7 linked regions of the Mus musculus genome follow. The protein of the gene in region 3 purifies or fractionates together with the protein of the main gene of each other region. This does not show direct contact. Links are inferred from orthologs where the notes say so. Each region holds a gene or a part of one and is shown on either strand. Other genes may lie near its edges. The genes, in order: Ppp6r2, Ankrd52, Ppp6c, Ankrd44, Ppp6r3, Ppp6r1 and Arhgef2.

Region 1 (3,833 bases), on a different chromosome or scaffold from region 3:
TGGGGTTTCCCTTCCCTAGCAAACAGAATGGACACCAGCTGTGCAAGTGCACATGTATACAGGCAGGCACTACAGTGGAAGGGAGTAAGAACACCTGGCTCGATTCAGTGCACAGCAGAACCCGTGGTGGCCAGACCTCCCAAAACATTTCATGAAACCATGTGTAGATGGGGAACTAGGAAATCAACTGCTGGAAAAACAGTGGCTCAAAGGGGGTCCCTCAGCCAAGTCACCACACCCTGTCCTCAGTACCCATGTCCCTTGTACAGTCTTCAGGTACTACCTGCTGAATCACTCTCTGAGCGAGGACCTTCTTTCTGTGTAGGAGATGAAGGAGCGGCCAATCCAGGCACATTCCTAGCTACTGCTGAGCCAGTCTTCCTGTCCTGGCCTCCATGTTCCAAAGCATTCTTTGAGTAATTATCTGAGACATGAGGGGCTCCAAACCTGGGCAGACATAAAGGTAGCAGATGTTTGGTGAGCCTTGGTTAGATGCCCAATGCTGGAGAACCTGTGATGGCTCAGGAATTGGGACCAGGGTTGAGTACGGGGTGTCTAGAATAAGCACTGCTTGGCTCCCAGGTCTGCTCTGGTTTCTGCAAGAAGGGCCACTGCCCCTCTAGGTGTCTGAGCACTTTTAACAGTGGCTGAATACCCAGCGCTTAATCTTGCCTGCTCCCCGCTGGTGGGGGCTTTGGGAGGATGAGTGAACCCACACCTGGCTCTGGCCATCACCCGGGCAGCGCATCGAGTCTCGTCATCTTCCCAAATGTCCTCCTCTTCATCATCATCAAAGGGCTGGATCCGATCACTGCAACAGGCTTCAAACAGAGCTGCACTGGGCTGTAAGACAGAATGCAGAGCTGTTTTCTGGAGAATCTGGTCCCAAAGAACTCCAGAGGGGCTAGCTCACAGAACATGGCCGACAGACAGTGTGGGAGGAGGCAAGGAGGGAAGCTCGGCTCTCAACTCCCATAGAGGGGAGCCTCCCAGTCCTGACACACAAATATACTGGCCAGGGCCCCATGGTTCCATCCACCTGTGACAAGGACCAAGTTGTGGACACTGTGAACTATCTGAGCAGTGTAATAAAATGCTGCTATGCCCTGCAGCCCTGCAGCGGCCCCCATCACTCACACTGTCCTCATCGGCTTCAATGTTGAAGTTGATCTCTGCAATCCGGTCAAATGGGGCGCTGCAAGAACAAGGTCCCTCAGTACCGCCTCTGCTCCAGCAGGCCTGGGCCCTCGGGTAGTAGGGCTTGCTATCTCCTCAGGGACAGTGGACCTCATTCCTGCCAAGATCACTTGGAGCTGCTTCTATGGTGCTGTTGCTTAGGGCAGTGCTAGCCTAGAGCCGGAGCCTTCATGGTGGCTGTACTCACTTGATGTTGTCATCCTGGTCTGCAAACTCCTCATCATTGAAGCCAAACTGATCCACAAAGTTTGCTGTCATCTGCTGGATCTGGTACTCAGAGAAGGCCTGGGAGGAGAGGGTACAGCTATGGAACAAGTTGTCGCCTGGTGGCTGCTCCTTGGAACCCACTCCATTGCTCAGGAGCCTCTTAGGAAGCAGGCAGTGGATTTTCGCAGAGGTTGACTGCTCACAGTGGTTGAGCAGTTGCATACAGAGAGCACCTCCTCAGTCGGCCTCCAAGCTTACTGTCCCCAGGTCTCTCTCACCACGGTAACGTGACTTTGGGGTACTCGCCCAGCCCCCTCTCCCCAGATGCGCTCGGAGATGAGTTACTTCTCTCTTTTCTATGCAATGTCACGGCAACTAAGCACTACCAAGGACACAGGCTCCAGAAGGGCCCGGCAGGGTGCAGAGTGCCGGCCATGCCCTCACCTGCTGAAGGGACAGCTCGTTAGGGAAAGTCCCCTCAATGTCCTCGTCCTCACTTGAGGAGTGAAGGTGGTGAGTGCTCACCTAAAACACAGGCCAGATGGGGTGGGCATGTGAGCTAGCCAGACCCCACCCAGTCCATTCCAGCCAGAGCCCCAGGTCCCGCCCAGCCCAGCCTGAGTCTCCCCCTCCCCGATACCCTCCCACACCACCAATCCCCTGACACCTGTAGGCCTGTGCAGCTCACTGCAAGGAAATGCCAACTGAGGCCAAAGCCTCCTGAAAGAGAGCCCAGCCTCCCTGGTCCAGGTAATGCCCTGGGAACTAAGCAGAGTCCTTCACAAATAAGCCATAGCTCTGGAGGGTGGAGATCAAGAAAGCACTAGCTTTGCAAAGAGATCCTCAGGGAGCCAGCTCTGCTGCGACATAGCAAGGGTATGTAACAGACTGCAGGCCAGAGGCTGAACTAAATGTCCAGTCCTGCCCTTGCGCATTCCTCCTCGCCCTGTGCTGCAGAGTGGTACATATGGGACTGCCAATGGTCACCATGGAAGGAGCCCCAGCTTCCTCACCAGGTCCACAGTGTTCCTGCGGTTGGTCTCCATCAATGTCTCTTCCACAAAGCTCTCCCAGCGTCCACGGCAATCTGCAGGGAGCCCTGCAAAGTAAGTGCTACTCATAAGTCCTGTGAGTACCCTCATAAGTGTGGGACTTATGAGTCCCAAGGGTAGGGCACTCAGGAGCCCTAGCAGGCAAGGGCTGGTCCAGAGAGGGACAAGTTATGCTTCTACGATCAGTCCACTCAAGACAAACAGGGGCTGCTGATAGGAAATAAGCCTATACAGCAAAGGGGGAGGGTTAATGTCCTCCAGGGCCTTAGGCTACAACAACTCTGAGCAGGGCAATGTTCAGCTTGTTCTACAGAGACCGTATCGGGCATGAGAGTTCTGTTGTTTTATGTTTTTTGAGACATGGTGAAACCATGTAACTCTGGCTGTCCTGGAACTCAGTATGTAGACCAGGCAGGCCTCAAACTCCTAAAGATCTGCCTATCTCTGCCTCCAGAGTACTGGGATTAATAGTTTATGCCAGCAGGCCTGGTCTGAAACTACCTGCTGGTACATATGTCTACCCTAAGGGTCTGAGGAAGTGAGCACCTTCCTACTGCACTCCTAGGCCTGGAGTGTGGGAAACTAGAACCTGGGCCTAACTGGAAACAAGAACCTTCTGCTCACCCCTCACCTCCCTAAACTGGGCTCCAAGCCCATTTCTTTTTCCCTTCTAGCAACAAGGGAGCCACCTCAGCTTGTTCACTGTTCTGCCCTGCTGCCCACTCATCATGAGTGATGATGGACCAGCAAGCTCAACTTCACCACTGTTGCAGTATACCTAGGAAGAAGGTGGACAGGCAAGTGGCCTCCAAGATACCACAAAGAAAACAATTCCTCTGGTCCTGGGTCATGGGGAGGACCACGTGGAGCTTCCTTAACTCATACTTGTTGGGGAGGTATTGCATAAGGGAACTGCTCAGGGCAGTAGGCGTCATGTCTGAGGGGAGAAGCTCTGCTCTTTTGCTTGGGGCATAGAGTTCAGGGTTTCAGGCCTTGCTGCCCACAACCTACTTCTAGGGGACAGAATATCACCTACACTCATGGCCTCCTGATATGAAAACTAGGAAGGCCCTCTAAATAGTGTGAGATGGAAACAAGACAGGAAGGTGAGTCAGGACCTCTAGTACAGGCACAGCTCTGGAAAGCCCGTGAGTACAAGAGAGCTTGGTGAGAAGCTCACAGTTTCGAGGCCCAGCACTGAGTCATGAACTGTCCTTGGCAGGCTGAGTCTCCTATACTCAGATCTCTGCTCCATGAACAGGACACCCAGCCTACCCTGAGAAGATGACAAAGAAGGCTGCATGGTTTGACTATACCAGTGTAGTTGTCACTCCTGAGGACAGAGGGCAGAGGGAAGGGAGCGTAGTGGGCACACCT
Region 2 (4,585 bases), on a different chromosome or scaffold from region 3:
AAAATGTATACAGGTGAACAGTCTATCGCTTGCCTACCATTGCCAACACTAGAACAAAAGAATTTCAATCTATGGGTTCAAAGTGTAGCTCAGTGACACAGCCTTTACCAAGCACCTGTAACACACTGCTTAAAATAAATATAAAATAAATCAATAAAAACTCAATATAAGCTGTGGATGCTAGCGTACCTTTAACCTGAGCACTCAGAAAGCAGAGGCAGGGGGATCTCAGTGAGTTCAAGTTCAAGGCTGTCTACATAGCAAGCTCCAGGCCAGACAAGCATGCATAGTGAGACTCTATCTCAAAAACAAACATCCCCCCCCCCCCAACAAAACCCTCTGGTTAACACAATCATTCCTCTGGGGCAGGGCCCCAGTATCTAAATAACTATCTGAGCCACTCCTGCCCATTGGGTCTGGAAGCACGTAAGTTATGGGTGAGAAGGAACAGAGAGAAGACTGTGTCTAGACTGCAATGCTCCTCACCTCAAGATGCCCACTGTGTACTGCATGGTGTAGAGCGCTGCGCCCGCTCCTGTCAGCCACATTGAGACTGCTCAACAGGGGTGCCAGAGCCTCTGCACACTTGGTGGCCCGGTTGGCAGCAGCCACATGCAGTGGTGTCTGCCACAGCTTGTCCCGGGCATTCACATCCGCTGAGTGTGCCAACAGCAGCCCCAGCACCTTCTGTGGTGGAGCAAGGGACAAGAGAAGACAGAGGGGAGCAGGAAGTGACATAAGAGGACAGAAGGAAGGGGCTGGTATGGTGACTAGTCATCCATCTTCCTAGCATGGTATCTCTTCCTTTCCTTTACACACCTAGCCTCTCCAGACCTGAGGTTGTTGGAGCTTAAACATCTTTGTTTTGCTGAGGAAAACAGGGATCTCTTCCCCATGCCACTTAGCATCTACCACCCTCCAACTTAGGTCCCCGAAAATCTCCACTCACACCCACCCTGGGCAAATCCACACACCCCAAGCCTAATTCCAGGAAAAACAAATGGCTCCCACTGTATTAATGGCAAAAACATCCTTTCCCTTAGCCCTTCCACAGACACCAAAATCATATAACCCCAATAAACAAGCATAACTGGATCCCCTTCGAAATTCAATGTTCCCGTTAAACATGTCCCACACCATTCCCACTGGCCTTAAGCTCTCTCCCCCTGGGAGCTGGAGCCAAGGAAGTGATGGGAGATCAAAGAGGCCTTCCCTTCCTCTTCAGGGTTGATAACACCATTGTACAGGACTCCATATGAGTTTGGGCCCTTAGGCAGTCAACTTAAATGTTGCTCGAGGGGCAAGGACACAGAATTGCTACTCCCCACCCCATCACAAGGAGAGAAATCTCAGTGCCCAGAGGGGGATCAGACTTAAGGTGGCCCCCAGGGAGGGATGAGTCACTCAGGCCTGGCAGCAGGGCCCCCGCAGTCTGCCAGCCCAGTGTTAAGCTCTCTCCCTGACGTCACATCAGCTGGCAGCACTCAGCCCCCCCCCCCCCAGCCAGTTCTAGGGGCAGGAAGGAGAAGCCAAACTCTGGTCTCCTCCCTGTGTGGGGCAGAAGAGTCTGTAGGGCAGAGAACTGAGTTTCTCTAGCCCTCAGCCCATCCTTTTTGAAAGGGAGAAATGAGGTAGGGTCTGTACCTCGTTTCGGGAGGCAGCGGCACGATGAAGAGGGGTCAGCCACAGTGTGTCCTTAGCGTTGACGTTAGCACCTGTGTGGACACAATTTGCTATTTTGTTGGGATTTGAGGAGGGGGAGGGAAGGAAACCAATAATCAGAGTGGGGAACCTGAACGGACAGAAAGCCATTCTTGTACCAAGCACCAGCAATCAATCCTCGGATCTAAAAAGACTTCTCCCCTCCCTAGATGCCGCACCTCCCAGCTCCCCACTTTCACCTGACATCAGTAGCAACTGGAGGATGGGGACATCGCCTACGTAGGCAGCAGCATGCAATGGGGTTCGCCTCTCTTGGTCCTGGAAAGGCAGAAAAGAGAAGCAGCTGTAGAGAGAAATTATCCTGAACGCCAGTTCTAGTATGAGAACTCCAAGCCCTTCCCTTCCTCTAGGTTCTTCTGCAGGGTCTTAAATCCCAATATCGGGCTTCAAAAGCCAGCATCCTGGGAGGGTGGAGTCAGGGCTACCGACCAAGAAACCTACTCCTTCCCGGAGGGGTGGGGGCGCTGCAGACCCCGATGGTTGAGAAGGGGACAGGGTTTTCTGGGCATCCCCAGAACCCATGATCGGTGCTCCATGCCTGACCAACCTTAAATGCGGAGCAGGCTCCCATTTCTGGGTAGAAAGAGCTGCAGTTTCATCAGAGCAGAGGAGAAACGGAGCCGCCCCACTTGTGGGGAGGGGTCCCGAACCCCTCCGGATTCCGGCTCGCCATCCTCCCTGCTCCCAACTCACCAGTACATTGATGTTCTCCTTCTGCGAGAGGAGGGAACGCACTTCCTCCACATCTCGGCTAAAGATGGCCTGGACCAGGGGCGGCTGCAGGGAGAACCAGCTTTCAGGGAGCGGGCCCGAGCCACGGCGTTACCAGGAGGTGGGGGAGCACACAGGTTGGAGGGGGGCGTCGCTGGAGGGGCTCCGCTACAGGGGTCCTGGCTGCAGCGGATTCCCGCCGTGCCCCCACCGGTCGCCAGGCCCCCAAGGACACCCGCTCCACGGAGTGGAGCACGGCGTGGGGCGCGGCGGGAGCCGCGGGAACCCCGGGCTCGGGCCCAGCCTAGGCCGCACATCCCCGGGCTCGCGTGGCGGCGGTGCCGGGGCCTGGGAAGAGGAAGTGGGGAAGGGTGGGAGGGCTGACCTGGTCCGTGATGCTGAGGATCCCCATGGCCCGGCCCAGGCTCCGTCCGCATCGAGCTCGCGGCAGCGGCGGCAGCGGCGGCGGCGGCTCCACCGGGGACACGGGGCGGCCCAGGCGGCGGCTGCGGCGGCGGCTGCGGGGAGAGGGCGGCCCCGCCTACCGGGGGGCGGGCGAGCGGGAGCCCGCAGCGCTCCCTGGCGGCGAGCCTTGGCCGGGCCTCGGGGTGCTCGCTGTCCGCGCAGGCTGCCCAGGCCTCGGCGCCCTCGCCCCGCGCCAGGACGGCCAGGGCGGCCCGGGCTCCCCCTACCCCGCGCGCGGGTTCCGCAGCTCCGCCAGCGGACCGCGCTGTGCCCTCCGTTGCAGTCGGGCGGCCCGAGGGGTCTCTCGCAGGCCCATGGCACGGAGTCGGGTCTCGCTCCCCCAGTGACTCCCGAGCCCAGGACCAAACAGCGGGCGAGAGCTCACCCAGCCCACAATGCTCCGGTAGAGCGGACGCCTCCGACCGTACTCACACCCCCAAGTACCCCAGAGATAGTGGAAACTCGGAGTGTGGCGACCCGAGACTTATAGATGGCCCCAGAACCAGTCTCCACTGGGTAGAAAGAAAATAGCAAGATTGCTAAGCTGCAGAAAAATCTCAAAAGACTCCTGCTTCAGGAAGCCTCCGTGAAGAGCTGGACACTTGGCAGCTGAAGAAAGGCCTCTAAGCCCAACAGCAACTCCATAATTACCCTGCCAGATTAGGGTAGTAACTGTTTCTCCCGGTAAAAAGGCAGTAGAGAGGAACTCCCCCTCACCCATTGGAGAGGTCAAAAGAGGCAGCCAATCAGGGACAGTTGGCCGAGGGAGAAAGAAAAGTGGAGACTGATAGATGGGTACAATTTATAAAAGATGCTTTAGAGCCAGGTGTGAATCATTTATAAGATTCCTGCGCTCTGGAACCTGAAGCAGGAGGATTGTGTATTCAAGAACTGTCCTGGCTACATCATGAGCCCCAGTTCCTTTGTGTTGCTACGATAACAATGACCAAACCAACTAAAAGAAGGAAAGGGTTTAGTCCATCTTTGAGAAAACTTAGGGCAGAAACTCAGACTTGAACTTGAACGAAGAACCCAGGGAGGAATGAACCCAGGCTCAAGCTTAACCAGATCTCTTATCTAATTTAGGGCCACCTGACTAGGGATGGTACTACCCACAGTGGACCGGGTCTGCCTATATCCATTAGCCAACAAGAAAGTGTTGGGCCTGGGCAGGTGGTTCAGCTAGTTAACGAGCATTGACCACTCTTCCAAAGGGCCCAAGTTTAATCCCCAGCAGCCACTTAGCAACTAATAGCGGATTGTAACTCCAACTGCAGAAATTTTTGGTGGGTAAAACATTCATACGTGAGATTTAAAAAAAAAAAAAGTAGTTTATAAGTTAAATTGAAAAGAAATCACTCTGTCTCAAATCTCACCGCCAAACAACAACAACAACAACAATAATAATATATAATAATAAGGGCTGGAGAGATGGCTCAGCAGGTAAGAGCACTGACACTGACTGCTCTTCCAAAGGTCCTGAGTTCAAATTCCAGCAACCACATGGTGGCTCACAACCATCTGTAGTGAGATCTGACGACCTCTTCTGGTGTGTCTGAAGACAGCTACAGTGTACTTAGAAAAAAAAGAAAAAAAAATATATATAATAATAAATTTGGGAGAGAGGTTGGAAAAATAGCTCAGCAGTTAAAAGTGCTTGTTGTGCTGGGCGTGGTGGCACACGCCT
Region 3 (4,412 bases):
TTTTTTTTTTTTTTTGAGACAAGGTCTTCTGGTTGACCTGCAACATGCTACATAGACTAGGCTATCCTAGAACTCACAGTTATCCAGCTGCCTCATCACTGCTGTGGTCAAATATGTGGTACACTATGGTCAGGTTAATTCTGAATCCTGTGTCAACCCATCCTCCTTACTATGCTGGAATGTTTTCCTTAAATTATCACTTTCTAACATGCTCTGAGTAATTTATTATATTTGTCGGTTATCTCTAACAGAATTAAATTGCAAGTTGAGGACAGATTTTTTAATACATTATTTTTTATTATTTTATTTATTTTGACTGCAAATATATTTCTGTACCACATGCACACAGTGCCCAGAAGAAGGTGTCTGATCTCCCGTAACTGGACTTGAAAGCAGCCACGTAGATGCTAGTAATAGAACTTGGATCCTCTGGAAGAACAGCTAGTGCTCTTAACTAATGAGCACTCTTTCCAGCCCCAAGGATAGAGATTTTTGTCTATTGCAGCCATTGGTTATTCTAACTGCCTATAAGTGTATCTGTACTTTGTTGCTATTCAATATAGAGTTGTCAAATGGACCAATGTTAAAGCTATAGTAGGTGTCAAGAACTGTTCTTGGCACTGGGATACGACAAAAAAAAAAAAAAAACCTTTCCGGCCCCCTCCTGGAACTCACCGGATTAAGTCAGTAGCCTGTTTTTCAGTCTAGGATCCATCTTTTCTGTTTCCTTTGAGATTTTGGGGCAAATAACACATGCAAACTTTGCATTCTTACAGTCTTACAAGAATTGAACAGGAGAAAAAAAAAGTGCCAGTATTTGTACAGAATGTGGCATAAGAAATGCTTTATTGTTTGTTTCTTCCCCCACCCACCACCCACCCCACCCCCCAGCCAGAGAACCGGTGGTGTTAAGTTTGTTTCAAATGTTGTCTAGGCCAGGTCTTCAGTAGTCCTGGAAAGGCGGTAACAGTAACTCTTAACTTTAACTGAAGATACTTTACAGGGTAGGAGTGAGAGCCAGGGAATTCTTAGTTAACCACTTCATGGTCTTCCTTAGAAAAAGCCTCATTTGAGGTGAAGTCTGTTGCCAAGGATAGGAAAGGAAGAGCATTTTACTAAAACTACAAATCCCAGCACGCCCCGCGGCAGAGAGCTACGGGTCCCAGTAGGTTTTATCAAAAGGACCTCCGGGTTCTCTTGGAGATAGATCCGTGGCCCGGAATTCCGCCTGAGAGAGAGAGCGGAACGGGTCAGGCTTTTACGTCGCTTCGCAGACGCCACTCACGGATCGGACGTGACGTAAGGAGGGTTCCGGATTCGGCCTCCGCCGCTGCCTCCGCTACTACAGCCGCTGCCGCTGCTGTCGCCGCGGCTTGTTCTTCCTAAAATGGCGCCGCTGGATCTGGACAAGTATGTGGAGATAGCGCGGCAGTGCAAGTACCTTCCCGAGAACGACCTGAAGGTGAGCCGGGCCGGAGGCCGTCCAGCTTGCGAGGCAAGCCCCTTCCGGCTGCGGGGCTCCCGCCGGCCCGCCCTTCTCCCTCGGCGGGATCCCTACCGGGCGCCCGATCCTGGCGCGGCGGAGGGCGCTCCGCGGTGCGAGAGGACCGGGTCCGAGGCGGCGTGACGCGGAGAACCAGGGGAGCCCGGATCCCCCGAATGCTGTCCAGTTCTTTGAGGGGAGATCCCGGGGGATGTCACGATCCCCTGACCCTCACGGGACTCCGAGCTTAAAGACTCTCACTCTAACTCGCTCGGCCTCCCGGAGACGGAGCCGGGCCGAGCGGGTAGTGCTCCCGGGATGGGGTCCTCCCAGCAGAGGTAACAGGAGCCGCTGTCTGCTCCAGGGACGCGGCCGCGGTGTGTTTAAGTCCCTGAGAGGTGGAAGCCGGTGGGCGGGATCGATGCGACCATAATGGGAGAGAATGACAAGTCGCCTCAGCTTCACCACTCCCCTAAATTGCTTCTTAGGAGTGGTAGTTTTCTTCTGATGATTTGGATGTGGATCTCATTTCTTAGCCCGTTGTTGAGCTATTTAAGTGAATAAGCAGTTGCTTATCAATAAGTTCAAATGTTTTTATGACCTCTGAGCTGTTCCCCTGTAACTCAAGGTGTCGTTTTCTTGGTTTTCCAAAGGAGGTCTTACTCAGTTCAGGCTAAGTTAATGCAGTAAAGAAGTAAGCCGTTGGTGTACCACTGTTATCAACCGTATTTTGTTTCTGCAAAAACTAGTGCTTAGGACCACGTTGGTGTTTATCCGATGGTTGCTAATGTCTGTTTTATTCCGTTAACTTTGATTTGCTATGTAGTCAGTCACTCTCGATCATTTGAATTTTTTTTTCATGCTGTTTTTGTAATATTTTTAAGCCACAGGCTTAAAACAATTTTTTCAAGAAAAAAATTGCCTTTTTCCTAACGAATTTTATTTCTCTTGTGAAGATTTTGCTCTGTGTCTGTTTTCTTGTCTCATCTAGTACATGAAGTTTATATTTAAATCAGCCAACAAGTATGCAAAATGTTTAAGACCTCAAGTGTTGGTTGTGTGAAAGTACATAGCTTGTAACTTACATACTGACTGCCTGTGTTACATGATTGGTGTTCATATTCAGCCACCTGAATCAGGCATTTGCCTTGTCTTCCTGCTTGGTAATTTTGTTTTGTCTTGTTTTTGCTTTCTTCCTGAGATAAGATCTTAATATAGTTCTTGCTGGGGCTGGAGAGATATCTCAATGGTTAAGAGCACTTGGCTGCTCTTCCAGAGGACCTGGAAATTCTGTTCCCAGCAAGGGCATGATAGTTTGTAACATCCTGTCACTCCAGTTCCAAGGAATCTGATGCCCTCTTCTGGTCTTCATAGGCACCAGGTACACATGTGTTCCACAGACATGTGTGCAAGCAAAGCAGCCATACACATAAAATAAAAACAAATCTTTAAAAAAAGTTCATGGTGGCCTCCAACCCAGTATGTACCTGAGGATGGCCTTGAACTCCTGACCCTCTTGCTTCTACTTCCCAACTGCTGGACCCTAACCAACATGCCTGGCTTTTTCTTTCCGTTCCTTTTTTTTTTTTTTTAATAAGATTTATTTTTAATTAGTTGGGGGGGGGCGGTTATGTGCACATTTTGCCTTTGTAAGCCAGGGGCACCAGGTCACCTGGAGCTGGAGGTACAGGCAGTTGTGAACCAAAAGATGTGGGTGATAGAAACTGAACTCGGGTCCTCTGTACAATCTTAACTGAGGAGCAATCTCTCCAGATCTTAGATATAGATATTTTGATACAGGGCATCATGTAGCCCAAGCTTGCCTTAAACCCCTGGTTCTCCGGCTTCCACCTTAATAGTGGTTTGTTTTATTTTATTGTGGTGTGAGGGTTGAGCTGAATTTTTTAAAAGATTTAGTTGTTTTTTATTTATGTAGATGTATGTGTACCTGTGTGAATTTATGTGCCCCATGTGTATGCTGGTGCTGGCAGAGGCAGAGAGCAATCCTAGGCTCCTGAAGTTGGATTTATAGGTGGTTTGAGCTACCTGATATTTGTGCTGGGAATTGAACCTGAGTCTTCTGCAAGAGCACTAAACTCTTTAAATTGCTGAGCCTGTTGTGTGCTTTTTAAATTAATTAAGTAATTATTTTGCTTTGTTTATCGAAACAGGGTTTCTCTGTGTAGCCCTGGGTCAAAGTCACTATAGGCATGGCTGGCCTTGAACTCAGAGATCCTCCATGTGTCTTTGGGATATGGGTATATGAGTGCAGATGCCTTCAAAGCCAGAGGCATTAGAGGCTGTAGTTACAAGCTGGAGGCTCTCTGAAGCTGTAGTTACAAGCAGTTATAAGCAGCCTGGCATGAGTGCTGGGAATAGAGTGTAGGTCCTCTGCAAAAGAATCATATGTGCTTTTAACTGCTGTGTCATTTCTCCAGCCCCACATTTATCTGTTTCTTACTAGACTGCCCCACTCCCCTAGTTTTTTGATTAACTACTGGGGAAGAAAATCTAAATTTTCTGTATATCCTTCAAAAAAATTGTTTCCTATCCTGGAAACAGTTCTATCAGATTAATTTGCTTGTGCAGCCAGTCTCTGATATAGTTTCTATTTGCTTGGTTGCTTATTTGTTGAGACCGGCTTTTGTTGAGGTTTGGTCTGTTGCTGTGTGTTGTAATTCTGTGTCCTAAGCTCTAGTCACCTCAACACGGATGAATTATCAATATGGCAGCTTTCTTTTGTGTGCAAAACTTGCTCCTTAATTTAAAATTATCAGTTGAATAAAGATGCCTACTGCCTGTAGCTGAGCAAAAGAGAGGTAGGTGGAGCTTCAGTTGCCTGGCTTGGGTCTGAGGTAGGCCAGTTGGGTAGGAGCAGCCCAGGTAGAATATGGCAAGTGATATCTCAGAGTCACTGACAGGGAAATAG
Region 4 (3,833 bases), on a different chromosome or scaffold from region 3:
CATGATGTTTGTGCAGGAATAGAATCCCTGACTAAGACACATACTATGCCTTACTTTTTCAATTAAAAAATATTTTCTTTTGGCCAAGGATTGTGCATGTATACAGTGAGGAAGATTATGAGTTTGAGGCTAGCCTGGGCTTCATAGCTAGTTCAAGGCCAGCCTGAGCTACACAGCAAGACTCTAAACACTAAGGGCTGGGGTTGTAGCTCAGTGGTACTTTTTGGCTTGTCTAAGGCCCTGAATTCAATCCTCAGGACTACCAAAAGTAAGTTTATATAAAATTGAAAGCAAATGGTTTACTATTCAAAATTCAAAAACAAAGGCTGAGACTCAGGACCAAGAATATGACAGCTTGCATTGCTTACCTGCCTTTGTCATCCCTGCAGCTGACAATGCTGGGATCTATGGCCCCCAGGAGCAATGATGCACAGCTCTCGTGACCATTTATTCTAAAATGAAAATAGAGTTCAGTATTAAAAACCTCATTAAAATTATATAGTCCTTCATACCTCATCTTTACAAGCATTGCATACTCAACAATTTGATCTATTTTTAGAAATCTGATGCCAAGCTTTGAGCCAAGCTACAATAGTGTACACTGACCCCCTCCACTGATTCCATTAAGGGCCTCTGTGTCTGTAAGAGACTCTGGAACACCACTCCCATGAGGTCCCAAGTAGGTGACATCCAGACACCAAAGTGGAAAAGACAGATCCTTCACACATGAAATCATCCTGGTTAGTACTTTAAAGGTTTGTTCATTTTGATTTTATGTGTGTCAGTGTTTTTCCTGCATGTATACATGGGCACTGCATGTGTACCTAGTGCTGGAGGATGCCAGAGGAGGGCACTAGATCCTATGAAACTGGTATGGATGGCTGTTAGCCACAGTGTGGGTGCTGGGAACCAAATCTGGGTCTTCTGCAAGAGCAGCAAGTACTCTTAATTACTGATCTATCTTTCCAGCCCCTAAAGTCACTCTGATTCTTTCTTACCTACTCTTTCTGTACTGATTTGATTTCATGCCTCTACTGTACTTCTAGTCAAATGACCCAGCTTCATGCAAAGCCCACAGACAATGTAAAGACAAGGCACTTTCAAGCCTTGCATCCCAGGCTGACTCTCAGAACTCCGACTTAAGGTCACTGCATTCTCTGAACAACAAGTTCTCTTTATGAACTTGCAATAACAATTAAATTTGAAAAGGAGGAAGAGAAGGAAAAGGAGGAGGAGAGGAGGAGGAGAATGGGGGGGGGGGAGGAGAATGACGAGGATGAAGATCAAGAATTATAGGAAACGTTTTCCTGGTAGAAAATTTCTAACCAGTTACAGACATATTACTATCAACCTTGACTTATTTTTCAGAGTTTGGGGGGTGATGGAGGCTACTGCTGAAGATCTCTTTACATCTGTAAACCATGCCTCTCAGGCCACCACCTTCAGTTTCCTCATGTGGTACATGAGTCACCTTGGAAATGTAGCCTCTGGAAAATCATTAACACGAGTTGCATGCTTGGCTAGCAGGCCTATTTGTCTTTAGCAGCAGAATAGAATATATTAGTCTTATCTGTAATCTAAATGCTTTCTCCACCTGTAAAAAGACACCTTTTCCACATGAAGTTAAAGGAACAGAAGTGGCCGCGTTGCCTTTCGAGAGTTTCTACTTACATTGCACAGTGCAGTGGAGTGAAGGGATTACCAATAAATTTTCGAAAACATTTTTGCTCCAAAAGTACCTCTATGCAGTTTTCATTACCTGCAAGGAATAAACACATTTAGAGAGCTCACAAGAAAGAAACAAACTTTGGTCATGGTGGTTTGTTGTTTGTTTGTTGTTGTCTTGTTTGATTTGGTTTGGTTTTAATTCCCCATTAAGTGTTGAGTTCAATGTTTGTTCTCTGTAGAATAAAACAAAACGCTAAAATGTTATTAACTATGCTCACAGGTGTTCTGAGATATAATGAAGAAATCAAACAGTGAATGCCATATGGCCTGGTGGGGAGAGAGAAAGAAGCCGAACCCCAGGGAGAGGATGCAGTCTGTGTGACCAGCCTGTGTCTGCCCTCAGATTCAGCACCCTTCCACACCCTTTCCTTTCCTGTTGTGGTTTCTCCCTTGCCAGAGAGAGCTCACAAGTTGCAGGTTAAAATATTATTTTAGGTAAAAAATTTACAGCTGGCCAATGGTAGGATAAGAGCAAAAATAAGTTTTTATTAAGGCAGAACCAATGAATGCGAAGACTAATGAAAACACAGGTAGTTTTAACTCAATGTAATTGAGCACAGAAACTCTTCCCAGAAAACATAATCACAATTTCCAAACTAAAAATCCTAGTGGAACTGAAATGCAAATATAAAGTTGCAGAAGTAGAGTTAGAAATATTCATATGAGATATCCATTCTCTTAGGGGGTAAGAGGTCTTCGTAAGGCTGATTATGGAGATACCACAAAATAGATTCAACCACACAAAACTTCAAAACATTTGCATGGCAAAAGGCATTCAAAACAAGGAACAGAGACACTCCCAACACACAATACAGAAGAGCCACATAGCCAAGGCACCCTGCTCTTACAGATGCAAGGGAAGAGGTAAGCGGTTCACCATGAGAAAGCAGGCATGGGTGAAAGGCCACATTCAGAAAGGGAACTATAGCCAATAAATTATATTATGAGATGCAAACTTAACCAAGAAAAAGTTACCAAAAATAAAGAAATACAATCACACTGGGCTGGCAAAGTTGTAGCAAAAATACTTTTATCACATTAGGGCAACCTTTTGTACAAAATATTATTCCTTAAAATTCTAAAAACATGCCTTTTATTTAAAAAATTCACTTCTGGATATTTAATGAGATTTTCATGTTATAATATGAATATGCACTGCTACAGTGTTTATGGTAGGAAAGAAACCCTAAAATTAACCTAAAAGTCCATCAGAGGGGGATCGGGTTGAATAAGCAAGTTCTAAGGAATGTGCATGCACGTGAATGTATGTGTGTGAGTGTGCATGCAGGTGTGCATGTGTGTAGCTATCAGTATATTACTATTAAAACTATGTATTGTGCATATGGTATCTAAGGATAGCCTGCAGTAGGATTTTAAGGGAGCACTAAGAAAAAAGGAAGAAAACTATGGGATGAGACTTGTGGTATAATTCCACTTAAAGAATATGCATATTTTTTATTTATAATCTCAGAGGAAAAATTATGAGACATGCATACAATTAGCACACATTTCTCTTTTGTTCCAAATAACTGAGATAAAAAATTTGAATATTCCAAGTAGCACACACAACAAAGCAAATGTGGAATGTGGATATTAAAAAAAAATACCAAAATCTAAACTACACATCTACTAGCGTTTATGAGTGACTCTACTGTATGTGAACTATACTGTATGCTGTTTTGTTTTTACCGTCATTGTTTTAATACTTCATGTGGTTCCTGGTTATCTGGTGCAGATCAGAAACTCTGATTACAGTTGCTCAAGTCCATTGGCGACTCTGATGAGGTGTCACAGGAAGAGGGAAACAAACTAAACCTTACTCAGCATCATGACAGCCACAGGGGTGGGGATGAGGGATGTTTAAAACAACATAAGACAGACACCAGTGTCTGGGTGCAGACACCAGTAACCACAGCATACAGCAGTGTTCTCACCTCCACTGAGGTCACAGAGGTGCGAGGCTAGAAAGTCTAGTATATGACATTCTACTCAGATGACATTCGACTCAGATGACATTCGACTCACCATTGTAACACGCCCAGTGCAGTGGCGTGTATCCCTGGTTGTCTTTGAGACAGCAGTCTTCTTCAGAAAGGGCAATCTGG
Region 5 (3,833 bases), on a different chromosome or scaffold from region 3:
ATTGTGTTTTTATATTTGCTTTTCAAAAAATGGTACCTATTACATATGCCCAAATCAAGCATAAACATAAAAATAAAATGTTAGCTTCTGTGTAAGTAACAAAAAATTCCTGAGAAAGATTGGATTTAGCATGAAAAAGGCCTGAATATGAGCTCACTTGTTCCTCACAGGACTGCCCATTTCATTCTGAGCTTCCTCTTTGATCAAAGATAAGTCTTCAATATGACCAACAAGGAAATGACATGGGTCCTTCCTGTTACCAGCCCAGGAAGTCATAAAGAGCTGCTATAACCTGACGAGTTATTCTACCTCACCAACAGCAAGTAAAAGTAGATTCTCATGATATTCAACCTAAAATCAGAACGGCCCCATTAAAATGCCACAAATGTCTTGTTTGTAAGAGAAGCCTGGCAGAGAGCTTGATATTGACCCAAGTTATGTTCTTTTCATGCAACAGAGATGAGAAACCAAGGCCAAATGTCTGTGGTACAATCACAGTGGCAGGGTCCTATTAGCCAAGGTTGCAAACTCCTACTTGCAGGTCCAGGCAGACATAATGTGATGATACTCATTAGGATAACTGGGATGTGGGATCCCATAGGGCAAAAGAGCCTACAGCTCGGGACAACCATCTGCAGCCTCCGGCAACACTCAGCACAATTCTCCACTTCTCCAGAGGCACAGCACGACAGAAAGCGTTTATACTCACACTTTCACAACACAACACAACACACAACACAACACAACACAATTCTCCACTTCTCCAGTGGCAGAGCACAACAGAAAGCGTTTATACTTACACTTTCATTTGTATTGAGAGTAAAGTTGATATCTGACACCCGATCAAAAGAAACACTATAAAGAAAACATAAGAAGAATTGTTGTCATCCATAGGTGGCTATAAACAGTGCTCTGAAATCCTCAAAATTTCAAGTATTTCTATTATCAATGCACTCTCGGTGAGTAATGCACAAACCCTCCGTGCTGTATTCAATGGTGCCCTCCCTGGTACTAAAGAGTGGATACAGGGAAGAGTTGAGATGGGAGCAGTGGAGATGATGCTTTGAGGCCGTGACAGCCTTTCAACAACACATTTCTAACTTCTGTGCTAATTATGGTTGCAAGGATCACATCAACAAAACCAAGAAAAAAGCTTCCAAACAATCAAGTCCAAACATGAAAAAGCACAAAAGCATTGTTAGGTACTAGGACCGATTCGTACATGAAACACACAGGCAATCCTGCCATCCTGCCTCCTTGAAAGCATGACAGGGATGGGTAAAAGCAGCCATGATGAGCTACATGATTATAAATGGTGGGACAATGTTATTAATCATCAAAGCTCCATTCTAACCAGTTATCAGGCTAAGCATTTGTTCTAAAAGAGAATGTCAATTCTGAACTAGTAAAACTAGAGTCCAGATGGGAAAAATCCAAGATGTCAAGAGGAGATGGGGTAGGGATGAGGGTCTGTGTGTGTGTCTGTGTGTGTGTGTATTCTGATCCTATGTAGATTGTTCACATAGCAAACAGATAAATGCCTTGTATAGTGTTTTTCTTTCTGGATAGAAATAAGCCAATGAGGGAGGTCGCTGGGTGTCTTAGTGCATGCTGTTCACAGTAGAGCCTCTGCTCCAGACTGCCTGTAGAGCATGTTCATGCAGTGCACTGTGAAAAGATTTTAGCTTCCCAGAGTCCAAACTCAATGTGTAATAAAACACTCTACACTAGCTCAAGTCCAATACCTGCTGCAAACTACTGCTACGGTGCCTCAGTGGACAGTCACTACCTGAGATATCACAGTGGCTTAAAATTTCCCTTCACCTCTGCTCTCAATAACCAACGATCTTCATATTGGGTGGTTGTTCTCATTCCCAGGCAGGATGCAAGATGCTGGTCCTCCATTCTGCCAGTCATCTGTACATCTCCTTTCTCTGCTCTGCCAGTTTCTAATTCCCTCTCTGCCTCTGACCCCGACTGCAGGGCAATGGTTAAAGTACTTGGCTTTTGTAAAATAACCCAAACCTCCTTCCTTATAGGGACTTCCCCAGAGCAGAGAACACATACAAGCAAGGCTGGTTGGTCCTGCTGCCCTGATCATCTGCAAGAATGCAGTACTAAACAATGTGCTGGACAGTCAGTGACACCTTGACCAGGAGGCAAACATGGGAAGGAATTACAGAATCACTTATAGTAATGGTATACTGAGAAGAGCAGAATGGTAGCTGGGGTCTTTGTAAAAAAGTTAAGTTGGAAGCAATGGCAGGCATCTATCCTACCATATACTAACTTAGCAAGCTAAGACAGGAGGATGCTTGAGCTCACAGATCCAACATCAGTAGGGGATAACACAGTGAGACTAATCTCAAAAACAAAGATCACTTAATAAACACAAGTCCCTAGGAAAGGGTCCAGTGCCCTGTCCAATACCCAGGGTCCCTTGGCTCTTAGTTTTGTATCAATCACCAAGAAAATGACAGTGGGACCTACAATTCAGAGAAGCTACAAAATACATGCTGACAGGAGAACCACAAATATAATTACAAAGTGTGTGGGGGAAGTCATTAAGGAAATATTAAAATATACTCACTTGCCAATGTCGTCTTGGTCTGCAAACTTCTCATCGTTGAAGCCAAACTGGTCAATAAAATTGGACGTCATTTGTTGCATCTGATAATCAGAAAAGGCCTGGCAACCCCAGGACCAGTGACAGTGACATCATGATTCTAATGACATTCTATACACTATTTGCCCATTTGTGTTCCAGAAAACCACTTTAACTCACACAGCCATGGAACTTTAAAGGTTGGTGTGTTTTTCTTTAGAAAAAGAAAAATCAAATAATTTCAGACATTTTACCCCAAAGGGGGGGATTTTTGAAATATGACACACAAACTGCTCCACTATACATTGTTAAGAAATATTCAAGAGATCATACTGTAAAAAGTGCCGACTACTATAGTCTTTGGACAGAGAACTGAGTTAGCCTTAGTGTGAAGAGGTAAGAGACATGTAAGTCTGAAATTATCAGAAGTCTCATCATCTCCAGACACAACCAACAGTATCCTAAAATATAATGTGCTAACCACCCCCAACTTCCCACCCTCCCCCTAGCCCCCACCATTTCCCCATGCCCATCCACCATAGCAAAAGTAGCATCAGAGAAAGAAAGACTGATGGACATCATCATGATCCTGCAAATGAAATGCTGGCCTAAGTCTTGGAGGCTGAGAACCGTCTGAGAGACTTCTGCACAACCTACCTGAGAGATAGAGCAGGAAGCTTTAACCTCCTCAGAAATCACTCAGAAAAACCCGGGACACTGGAAGGTCTACAGAGAGGCCAATTCTATTTCCATCAGTCTTGGGTGAGTCTTCCCAGTTGGAAAATACAGGAATGTTATATGGGACCTACTGAACTGCTGCCAGTCTACTTACGGCATCAGGAAACATGCCCTCGCTACAAAGACATCAAGTGCCACCTCACGTCCTCACTCTCACCGAGACAATGAATATAGAGCACAGGACCACGCTGTGAATATTACATGTGGCCAAGGACAGAGACAGCAGTGGGACCCTAGGAACAGCACTTACTAATGGGGGCTTTTGAGGCCACTGTCTGCAAAGGAGGAGGATGTAATGGAGTCAGGAGACTTCTTGGTCCCCACCTCCTCAAAGCCTACAGCCCCAGCCCTGCACTGCAGGAATACCTCTGTCATGCACCTTCACCACACTAACTCTCATAGCAGGGAATTATGGCATGGATAATCCAAACTGTGTGAATTTAAAAATAAACTTCATGTTTGGCTTTGGAAATTACATTTGCTTAGGCGT
Region 6 (4,294 bases), on a different chromosome or scaffold from region 3:
ATGGAAAAAAAAAAAAAAAAAAGATGCCACATGACCCAACAAAAGCAAACAACCAAAGAGGATGCATGTAAAGGAAAAAACACAACAGCTCCTACACCACACAGAAGCTCAAAGCACATAAGATACTTAAGCAAAATAGCAGAGTAGCAGTGTTTCTCTACTGGCATCAATAGAAGCTGAGACTACATAGCTATTTGTGGTGAGTGGCTGCTCTGTGCATTAGAAGACAATCAATAGCATCCCTGGGTGGGATATATACACTAAACGTGGGAAGCTTACTTTCTCTACTCCTACAGTTTTGACAACCATAGGGTCTCCAAGCATTGCCAAATGTCTCCGAGAGGACATATCATACCCAATGAGAACTACTGGGATATATTATCAAAAATCAGATGATAATCCTAAGAGATACTGATTCGATATACTTGCTGTGTGCCTTGCATTCTGATAGGCATCTACAAACATTGCACTCAATATCCTGAACCACTTTACACAGACAGCCCTCCTATTAGCCCACTTATAGAGGAGAAACAGGTACTGAACACTTGCCTAACTTTTCCAAGGACTCACCACTAGGAAAGGCAAGCACCAGGACTCAAACTAAGTCTAACTCACAAAAACTCTTGCTCTAGGTAATTCCTCATTATACCAACCCTAAAACTAGAGTAGAGTCACTGAATTTGGGCAAAATGATTTGCATTAGGCAAAGGTTACCAGGAAAATAAATAACAAAAAACCCACAGGAGAAACATTTCAAAGAGCACAAGATAACTCCAAGTGCATGTGGCAGAACACAGCAAGTGCTCTCGTGTGAACTGTCCACATTAGCTGTGCAGAATGCACATAGAAACAACTCATACTGTGTTGTTGAAGCAATCCAGTCCCTGCAACACTGGCCTTGAGTCTGACAGAACTTCTCCTTTAAGATGGAAGCAACTCTGTGGCAGTTTTACAACCCTCAACCCAGTACCACATTTGTCATACAGTGCAGCTTCCTTTCCAGAAACATCTTGCCTCCAGGTAATACATCCTCAGTACAATTGCCTCAGTATATAAGGAGTGGTCAAGACCATAACTCCCTTGGACTGGCAACATAAACATTAATCCCAGGTACTTAGAAAACTGAGATTAGACGATTGTGCGTCAATAGCCCACCAGCTCTTCAGAGTTCAAAGCAAGCCTAAAAAAATTTGCAAGATACTGCCTCATAGTTTAAAAGCAATAGGAGAGGCTCAGGCTATGTGTAGCTCAGTCGGTGGTAGAATGCTTGCTCCGTGGCAGGAAAACTGGGAGTTGAGCCCTAGTACCACCACCGAAGGGAGGGGGGAAAAGGACTACCAACCAGGTCACTTAAGGCCCTGGACAGCAGCTCCAGCCAAGCCATTCCACCCTTGCCCTCTTAACACTTCAACCCACTCCATCCTGGCTCCCTCAGTGTTCCCACCTTCACATATTTGCACGCGGTGTTTCTTCCACCTGGAAAGCTCTTCTTCCCACTCTCCATCTGTTAACTCCCACTCAGCCTTCCTCGACAGAAAAGTCACCCATCCGGCCGGTCTCACCAGTCTCTCCCACTCTGCGGCCTGCTGCCACAGCACCCTGGGTTACCACCATCACAACACACAGTAATTGTGACTGTCCAGCTCTGCCTTTGGCTCCCTGAGTAGATAAAAGTACCAGGGACTTCCACTGACCACTCCCTCCTGGACCCAGCAACCAAGTTCTGCCCTCAATGGGCCTCATCTCACAGAATACCCAGTAGCGCACCAAACAGTGGTTCCAAAGTGCCTCCTCACCACAGGAAACTAGGGACAAACAGGGACAGGACAGCCACAGCCAAGGCGAAGGAAAAGACCTGTTTAACCTTGCCTTCCTGAGCAGAGGGTGAGAAACAAAAAGGTCAAGAGTCCACGAAGGCTGGTGAGAGTGAAAAGAGTAGGTAGACACAGAGGTGAGCACAAAAGAGCAGGCAAGAGGAAGGAAAGAGAAAGGCACCCTAGAGGAGGAAGACTACGACAGGGGGGACAGGGGAGTGGGCCCAAATCCCAAGAGAGCTGAGTCAGAATGATAGGTGGAGGTGATGTAGATCCCAGTGGGAAGAGATGGGGGCTGGGGGCTGCGGGGAGAAGAGTCTAAGAGACTTAGAGAGGGTCCCCAATAGACGAGGAAGACGGGCTGGGAATGACAGCGAAGTAGACACAGGCCCGGCGACAGGAAATAGACTTGATGATACTGGCAAGTGGCTAAAAGACTTAGGGAGTGAAAGGGAGGATACTAAGAGACTCAGGGGCGCTCAGGGAGATTTGAGGAAAAGACTCCGGATTAGAAGGCGCACGCCCGGGAAGGCAGCTGCGGGGCTCACCTGCGCGGGGGGGCGGCGGCTCCTCGCACTCGGGGCTCATCGGGGCGCCCCTGCCGCCCCGCCGCCGGCGGCTCCGGCCCTGTCGAGGGGCCGGCTAAGAGGGGCGGGGGCGGCGCCGGTGGGCTCGCGCAGGCGCCCGGGCCGGAGCTCGCGAACCCGCGCAAGCGCCCTCCAGTCACAGGGAATCCCCTGCCTCACCACCGAGCTTCGACGAGTTCGGGTCGTCGCGAAAAAGTAGGCGCACTCGTTCCACCGCAGAGCTCCGTGGCCGACGCGAGGCCCGCGCAGGCGCCTCCGAAGCAGGGCGACGGGGGAAGTCGCCGCGGGTTACACACTGACACGCCGGCACCCGCGGGACAGGAAAAAGAAGCCTCCGCAGCCCGACGGGTGCAGAATTGCACCGAGAGCCGACGCCCGTCCCCTCGGCTTTACTGTCACCCGAAGCGGCTGGGTCTCCCCGGCCCCAGCCGTCCACCTTAAGGCCTCCGACGCAGGGCTACCTCCGCCACTGTCCCACAATGCCCCGAGCGCGGGAGGACGCAAGAAGACAGGCTCCGCCCTCTCGTGGTCGCTCTCCGTGCGCAGGTGCGCGAGAGGCCGCTAGGTCGGCCTGGCGAGGCGCGTGCGCGGTGAGCGCTGGCGCCCAGAACCCGCCCACTCCGGAACTCCGCGGCTGTCCGTGCCCACGGTTGCCAATGTTCTCTCCCTGAATAAACCTAGAGGGCCCAGTGCGCAGGCGCTGCTGCAGCCAGAACCCCGTTTTCTGTGACTACATTCCAAAATCCGCTGAATATTCGGTTCTAGGATCTTTCGCCCTGAAAGCTACCTTCGGAAATCCGATTGTTATTCCGACTCCTTCAACCATATTTCTTTGACTCGAGTCAACTCCTAAGAAATCCATTCCAACTTTTCGTCCTCACGCGAAGCTGGTTGCTTTTGTTCAGTCGGGTTCGTCCCGGATGCCTAAGCGTCTGCCGAGGTTTTCTGGCTGACCTCCTACTCAGGCATTTGCCCAAGCCGCGTCTACTGTTGCCAGTTGCTGCACAAAGCCTCCTCTTGTAACAACCGGGAGGAACCCCTTAACGCCGGGATTCAGTCACTAAAGGGCCTTTTCTAGCGCTGAGCCTCGGTTTACCCCAACTTTCATCCCCTGCTCCTTCGTGCCCGTTTTAGAGGTCAGCTGTAAGGACTAGATAAATGCATGTAAGAAACATTAGTTTTCCTTTTTTAAAACAGCAGATTAGGACTTTATATTTCGGGGACATTTCACGTCAGTCATTATTTTGACTTTCAAGGGATGTAGATATTTTTCTCCACCCCTTCTCAAATGGCTTTAATGGACTTGCACAGATTAACACCTGTCAGTAATTTTTTTCGTCTTGTCTCTCCTGGGCTGTGCTGCTTTTAATTTTTGTTCGATCTTGTATCAACTGAGTTCTGTGTAAGAGAGCACCTTCATATTAAAAGTGAACACTAGCTCTGCTCCCTGTCTCCTTTAAGTTCAGCCTGCCCCCCCCCCCCACCCCACCCCCAATTCCAGGATGGGTCTTCTCTCCCCAGTTAGACCTTTCTGGAAACTCATACACACACTGGAGATGTGTTTCCATGGTGATTCTAAATCCTGCCAACTTGGCAATGAAGATTAACTTTCACACAAAACTTCAAGGATGTCGAGCTGGCTTCATGGGCAAAGGTGGCTGCTGTGCAAGCCCATAACCTGGCTCAACTTAAAATTCGATCCCAATACCCACATGGGAGAAAGGGAGAATCAATGCCCCACACTGTCCTCTAACCTCCATTCACAGGCCATGCCCCTCTTTATACACTCAAATATGTTTTTAAAAGTACGTGTGTGTGTGTGTGTGTGTGTGTGTTAAAGAACAGATGGTCCCAGCACAACACAGCAAGAAAAGACAGCAGCTCTGAGGTAAG
Region 7 (3,833 bases), on a different chromosome or scaffold from region 3:
CTCTCCATCAAGTAGGAAAGGAAAAAGGAGTAGCTGAACTAGCTGAGCCTGCACTCGGGACCATGGCTGTTCCCTTCCTGACAGGCCCTCAGCTCTACAGCTCCCCCCACCCCACCCCCAAACACCACAGGAAACTCTGCTAACTCAGGCAGACAATGCCCAACACCACGCTCACTTCCACAAATACAAGGCACACAGGGTGGGGCAGAAGGGGCCGACAGAAGCCAGGCTGTGGCAGTGCCCACCCCCTGGAGCTCCCTTCCCCTACCCACAACACCTAGTGTCTCTGAATCGAGCCCCCGCTTTCCACCTGCTCTCAAAATAGTGCTACCCACCTCCCCAGTTCCCCTGGCAACAAGCTTCCGGATTGAGTATTTTGCCAGGTCTCTAGAGGGATCTAGATTGGGGTTACCTCCTCATCCTTTTGGCTCTAGATCAAGTGGTAAAGAAGTGGGGGGGGCAGGCCTCTCTGGTTCTTTTTGAGGGGGGTAGGCCTCCCTGGTTCTATCTGGGATTCCTTTCCAACATCCCAAAGGGATTAGGAGGCTAGAGTGGAGTTGTGTTGGTCAGTATCAAGGTACAACACTCGAGTCTACTCCAGGGAAGGCATGGGGATGGGGGTGGGGGTGGGGGTGGGGCAGGGCGGAGCTAGAGCCCTCTGCAATGGTATCCTAAGGAGGTCGGAATTCCTCTGTCTCCTTCCTGGGGCAGGATAAAGGTTAGACATGGGCAAGATTAGGAGTTTTGAGCCCTTCCCTCCATCATTCAGGTCTCTGCTGAATTTCTTTATCAGGGATAAAGAAATGGATAATCCCAGCCTGTCCTTGAATCTGCAGACTTCTTTTCCCTCACATGCAACAGAAAGGCAGGGGCAAGGAGTCCTCGCGTCTAAGCTGTCCAGGGAGATGGGCAGAGGCAGCTGCAGGCTGGCAGCTTCCCTCCGCTCCCTACTCCTCTCCCACCCTGCATTATAACACACATTCCTGCTCATTCTCCAGGCAGTTCTCCGAACTGTCAGCAGCTGTTCAAGAGGCGAGGGGGATACCCAAGCCAGCGACAGCTGCATGGAGAGTAACAACAGCCTCTGTCACCCCACACCCAAGAGACCAACCAGCTTACGCCACATTCCAATAGCCACCACCCAGTGTGGGCAAGGGTGGCAGGAGACCAAGCACCTGAGCATGACACTTGAGCCCGGCTGGGATCCGGAAAATAGAGTCCTTTAAAGGATCCAGGGTGGGAAGGACAGACGGACGGGAGAACTAGAGGTCGATGGCAACTGAGGCTAGGTCACCTTTGGGACCAAAAACTTACTAGGACAAATGAGGGCTTCCTTGGCTGTGATGCTCTTGTTACAGGCATAGCACATGGTCATGCCGGAGACGGAGATGGTGGTGAAGAGGTGGCCGTTGGTATAGCGGGCATCTTTAGCTTCCTTCATCTTCTCCTTTTCCCGGGTCTGTGGAAAGATTGAGAGACAGAAGTGAGGTCAGAAGACACTCAGTCAGGTACCTGGCGTCCAGATAAACAGCAGAGGCATGGGAGAAATGCCTGCCTAGAGAGGCTGAAGTGACAGCAATTGCTAAAGCATAACCCACTATGCACGGGTGTCCGAGGTGGCTGTCCAGGCATGACCAGGCCCTGGGTAGTCAGTCCCTGAGGCTTCGAGGCCTCTGACCTACCTGACCCCGGCGACTGGGCTGCCTCCTGTTCCCACTCATCTCCCTAGCTCTAGAGCTCTGCGTCCTCACTCCACCTTCCAGCCTTAGCTCTGCTCGCCCCCGGGCTGCTGTACGATTTCTCTGTGCCGGGGGAAGATGCGCAGAGAGAGGGGAGGACCAGTGAAGCAGAGGGTGCCAGCTCACCAGCGCTTTCCAATCTATGGGAGTTAGCTCCTCTCATAACCATGACAACGGGTGTTGGAGCTGCTGTCTTCAGAGCAGTCATGGGGGAGCAGGGATGGCAAAGCAGGAGATTCCCCTATTAGATTGGCTGGGGGTGGGGGCCAGGATGCCTCTTCAGACACCATCAACTCAGAGGCCAGGATCCGAACCCTCTAACTCTTCTACTTACACTCAGTCAAAGCCCAAAAGAGATCCCTCACTAGCAGAGTGTGTGTGTGTGTGTGTGTGTGTGTGTGTGTGTGTGTACGTACAGAGGTGGGGGCTCAGTACCCAAGAAACCCTGTGAACTCCAGATCACAGCGCTAGGCCTGCAGCACTCTTGAGTACCTTCTTACCCCGAGGTCTATGTTTACCTTTGCCTTTAAGCTTCCCCTACCTCCTCCAGCTTCTGTCAGAGTCCTTGACTTCTTTACTGTTCCTCCCCAAGCTCCAAGAGCCAGAAAAGGTGAAAAGACAATGTCAGCTGTGGTAGCCCATGCCTGTTAACTCCTGACTAAGACAGGAAGACTAAGACTATTGCAGCAAGCCTGGGCTACTGAACAACTGTCTCAAAACAACAACAACAACAACAACGTGTATGTGCATGCGCACACACTCATGCACAAACAGCACTGAGGTGGAGGCAGGAAGCTTGGGAGTTCAAGGACATCCTTGGCTATATAGTGATATGAGGCCCTATCTCAAAACACCACCACTACGATCAAAAACAAAACACAACACAAAACAAACAGGTTAGAAGACAGCTTAAAAGAAAAGCAAAGGCACCCGATGACCCTGGTCGATTCCCAGGTCCCACACGGCAGAAGAACAAACTGACACCCACGTCCAAACCATGGCACGGAACCAATAAGTCAGAAAAGGCAGGATAAATGGAACAGTGGGGCACGGCTTTAATCCCAGCACTGGGGAGGAGAGGCAGGCCGATCTCTGAGTCTGAGGCCACACTAGCCTACGTAGCAAATTCCAAGCCAGTCAGAATGTCACAGTGAGACCCTGTATCTAAAGTAATTAGTTAAGTTAATTAATTAAAGATGTTAGAGGACAAGCCAGGCAGGAGTGAAGCTCGTCTTTAAACCTAGCATTTGGGGCTGGAGAGACGGCTCGGCGGTTAGGAGCACTGACTGCTTTTCCAAAGGTCCTGAGTTCAAATCCCAGCAACCACATGGTGGCTCACAACCATCTGTAATGAGATCTGACACCCTTCTCTGTTCTCTGGTCTGTCTGAAAACAGCTACAGTGTACTTACATATAACAATAAATAAATCTTTAAAAAAAAAAAAAACTAGCATTTGGGTGGCAGAGTCTCGCAAATCTCAGACTTCGAGGGCAGCCTGGTCTACATAGTAAGTTCCAGGAGAGGAAAGCCAGAGCTGCACAGAGAAACCTTATCTCTAAGGGGGAAAAAATGTTAGGAGACAAGGACATCATTCAGGTGACTGGGGCTGAGAGTAGGAGCCCCAAGTTGAGGACACTGGCTGGGACCCTAGGACAAAAAGTCACAATTCAGTGAAAAGCATTCAGCCTGGGCCTGGATGAGCAGTCCTGCCTACGCCACTAACCATGCTGGCAGTTAGAGGGGAGGATGGGAAAAGGGGAAGCAGAAAGGTGCTGAGTCAACTGTCCAGGGGCTGGAGAGCAGTGGACCACAGAGCCCTGGGCCTTGGGGTGGCCAAAGAGCAATGGACCAGAGAGCCCTGGGCCTTGGGGTGGCCTGAGGATGATGGAGCCCAGTGGTCTAGACAGAGATCACCTCCTTATGTCCCCCCTTCACTTTACCACCTCCGCCATACATTTTTCCTTTCTCCCCTAACTATACTGTTGGGGTTTCATTTGGTAACTTTTTGATTTATTTTGTTTTGAGTCAGGGTCTCACTATGAAGCCCTGTCTAGCCTTGAACTAAAGGTAATCCTCCTGCCTCAGTCACCAAA

Evidence for each region.
Region 1: the proteins of Ppp6c (region 3) and Ppp6r2 purify together in Homo sapiens (affinity purification with mass spectrometry; 9 studies listed by BioGRID and IntAct, counting the BioPlex papers as one, with this or other methods). This does not show direct contact. The link is inferred for Mus musculus from reciprocal best matches to the Homo sapiens genes PPP6C and PPP6R2.
Region 2: the proteins of Ppp6c (region 3) and Ankrd52 purify together in Homo sapiens (affinity purification with mass spectrometry; 6 studies listed by BioGRID and IntAct, with this or other methods). This does not show direct contact. The link is inferred for Mus musculus from reciprocal best matches to the Homo sapiens genes PPP6C and ANKRD52.
Region 4: the proteins of Ppp6c (region 3) and Ankrd44 purify together in Homo sapiens (affinity purification with mass spectrometry; 5 studies listed by BioGRID and IntAct, counting the BioPlex papers as one, with this or other methods). This does not show direct contact. The link is inferred for Mus musculus from reciprocal best matches to the Homo sapiens genes PPP6C and ANKRD44.
Region 5: the proteins of Ppp6c (region 3) and Ppp6r3 purify together in Homo sapiens (affinity purification with mass spectrometry; 10 studies listed by BioGRID and IntAct, with this or other methods). This does not show direct contact. The link is inferred for Mus musculus from reciprocal best matches to the Homo sapiens genes PPP6C and PPP6R3.
Region 6: the proteins of Ppp6c (region 3) and Ppp6r1 purify together in Homo sapiens (affinity purification with mass spectrometry; 11 studies listed by BioGRID and IntAct, with this or other methods). This does not show direct contact. The link is inferred for Mus musculus from reciprocal best matches to the Homo sapiens genes PPP6C and PPP6R1.
Region 7: the proteins of Ppp6c (region 3) and Arhgef2 purify together in Homo sapiens (affinity purification with mass spectrometry; 4 studies listed by BioGRID and IntAct, with this or other methods). This does not show direct contact. The link is inferred for Mus musculus from reciprocal best matches to the Homo sapiens genes PPP6C and ARHGEF2.

The regions. Positions count from the first base shown.
Region 1 is NC_000081.6:89,277,369-89,281,201, reverse strand, and holds part of Ppp6r2 (serine/threonine-protein phosphatase 6 regulatory subunit 2), read right to left. Parts: coding exon 3,832-3,833; exon of another isoform or gene 3,773-3,831; intron 2,504-3,772; coding exon 2,418-2,503; intron 1,930-2,417; coding exon of another isoform or gene 1,849-1,929; intron 1,483-1,848; coding exon 1,385-1,482; intron 1,196-1,384; coding exon 1,138-1,195; intron 844-1,137; coding exon 719-843; intron 448-718; coding exon 284-447; intron 1-283. UniProt on the Homo sapiens protein: Regulatory subunit of protein phosphatase 6 (PP6). May function as a scaffolding PP6 subunit. Involved in the PP6-mediated dephosphorylation of NFKBIE opposing its degradation in response to TNF-alpha.
Region 2 is NC_000076.6:128,375,483-128,380,067, reverse strand, and holds the start of Ankrd52 (serine/threonine-protein phosphatase 6 regulatory ankyrin repeat subunit C), read right to left. Parts: upstream 2,945-4,585; 5' UTR 2,846-2,944; coding exon 2,819-2,845; intron 2,500-2,818; coding exon 2,416-2,499; intron 1,981-2,415; coding exon 1,902-1,980; intron 1,716-1,901; coding exon 1,645-1,715; intron 688-1,644; coding exon 487-687; intron 1-486. UniProt on the Homo sapiens protein: Putative regulatory subunit of protein phosphatase 6 (PP6) that may be involved in the recognition of phosphoprotein substrates.
Region 3 is NC_000068.7:39,223,217-39,227,628, reverse strand, and holds the start of Ppp6c (serine/threonine-protein phosphatase 6 catalytic subunit), read left to right. Parts: upstream 1-1,279; 5' UTR 1,280-1,387; coding exon 1,388-1,462; intron 1,463-1,502; exon of another isoform or gene 1,503-1,821; intron 1,822-4,412.
Region 4 is NC_000067.6:54,657,248-54,661,080, forward strand, and holds part of Ankrd44 (serine/threonine-protein phosphatase 6 regulatory ankyrin repeat subunit B), read right to left. Parts: coding exon 3,754-3,833; intron 1,760-3,753; coding exon 1,672-1,759; intron 453-1,671; coding exon 369-452; intron 1-368. UniProt on the Homo sapiens protein: Putative regulatory subunit of protein phosphatase 6 (PP6) that may be involved in the recognition of phosphoprotein substrates.
Region 5 is NC_000085.6:3,471,179-3,475,011, forward strand, and holds part of Ppp6r3 (serine/threonine-protein phosphatase 6 regulatory subunit 3), read right to left. Parts: intron 2,689-3,833; coding exon 2,591-2,688; intron 856-2,590; coding exon 801-855; intron 1-800.
Region 6 is NC_000073.6:4,656,119-4,660,412, forward strand, and holds the start of Ppp6r1 (serine/threonine-protein phosphatase 6 regulatory subunit 1), read right to left. Parts: upstream 2,833-4,294; 5' UTR 2,363-2,832; intron 1-2,362. UniProt on the Homo sapiens protein: Regulatory subunit of protein phosphatase 6 (PP6). May function as a scaffolding PP6 subunit. Involved in the PP6-mediated dephosphorylation of NFKBIE opposing its degradation in response to TNF-alpha.
Region 7 is NC_000069.6:88,627,413-88,631,245, reverse strand, and holds part of Arhgef2 (rho guanine nucleotide exchange factor 2), read right to left. Parts: exon of another isoform or gene 1,722-3,833; coding exon of another isoform or gene 1,683-1,721; intron 1,460-1,682; coding exon 1,315-1,459; intron 1-1,314. UniProt on the Homo sapiens protein: Activates Rho-GTPases by promoting the exchange of GDP for GTP.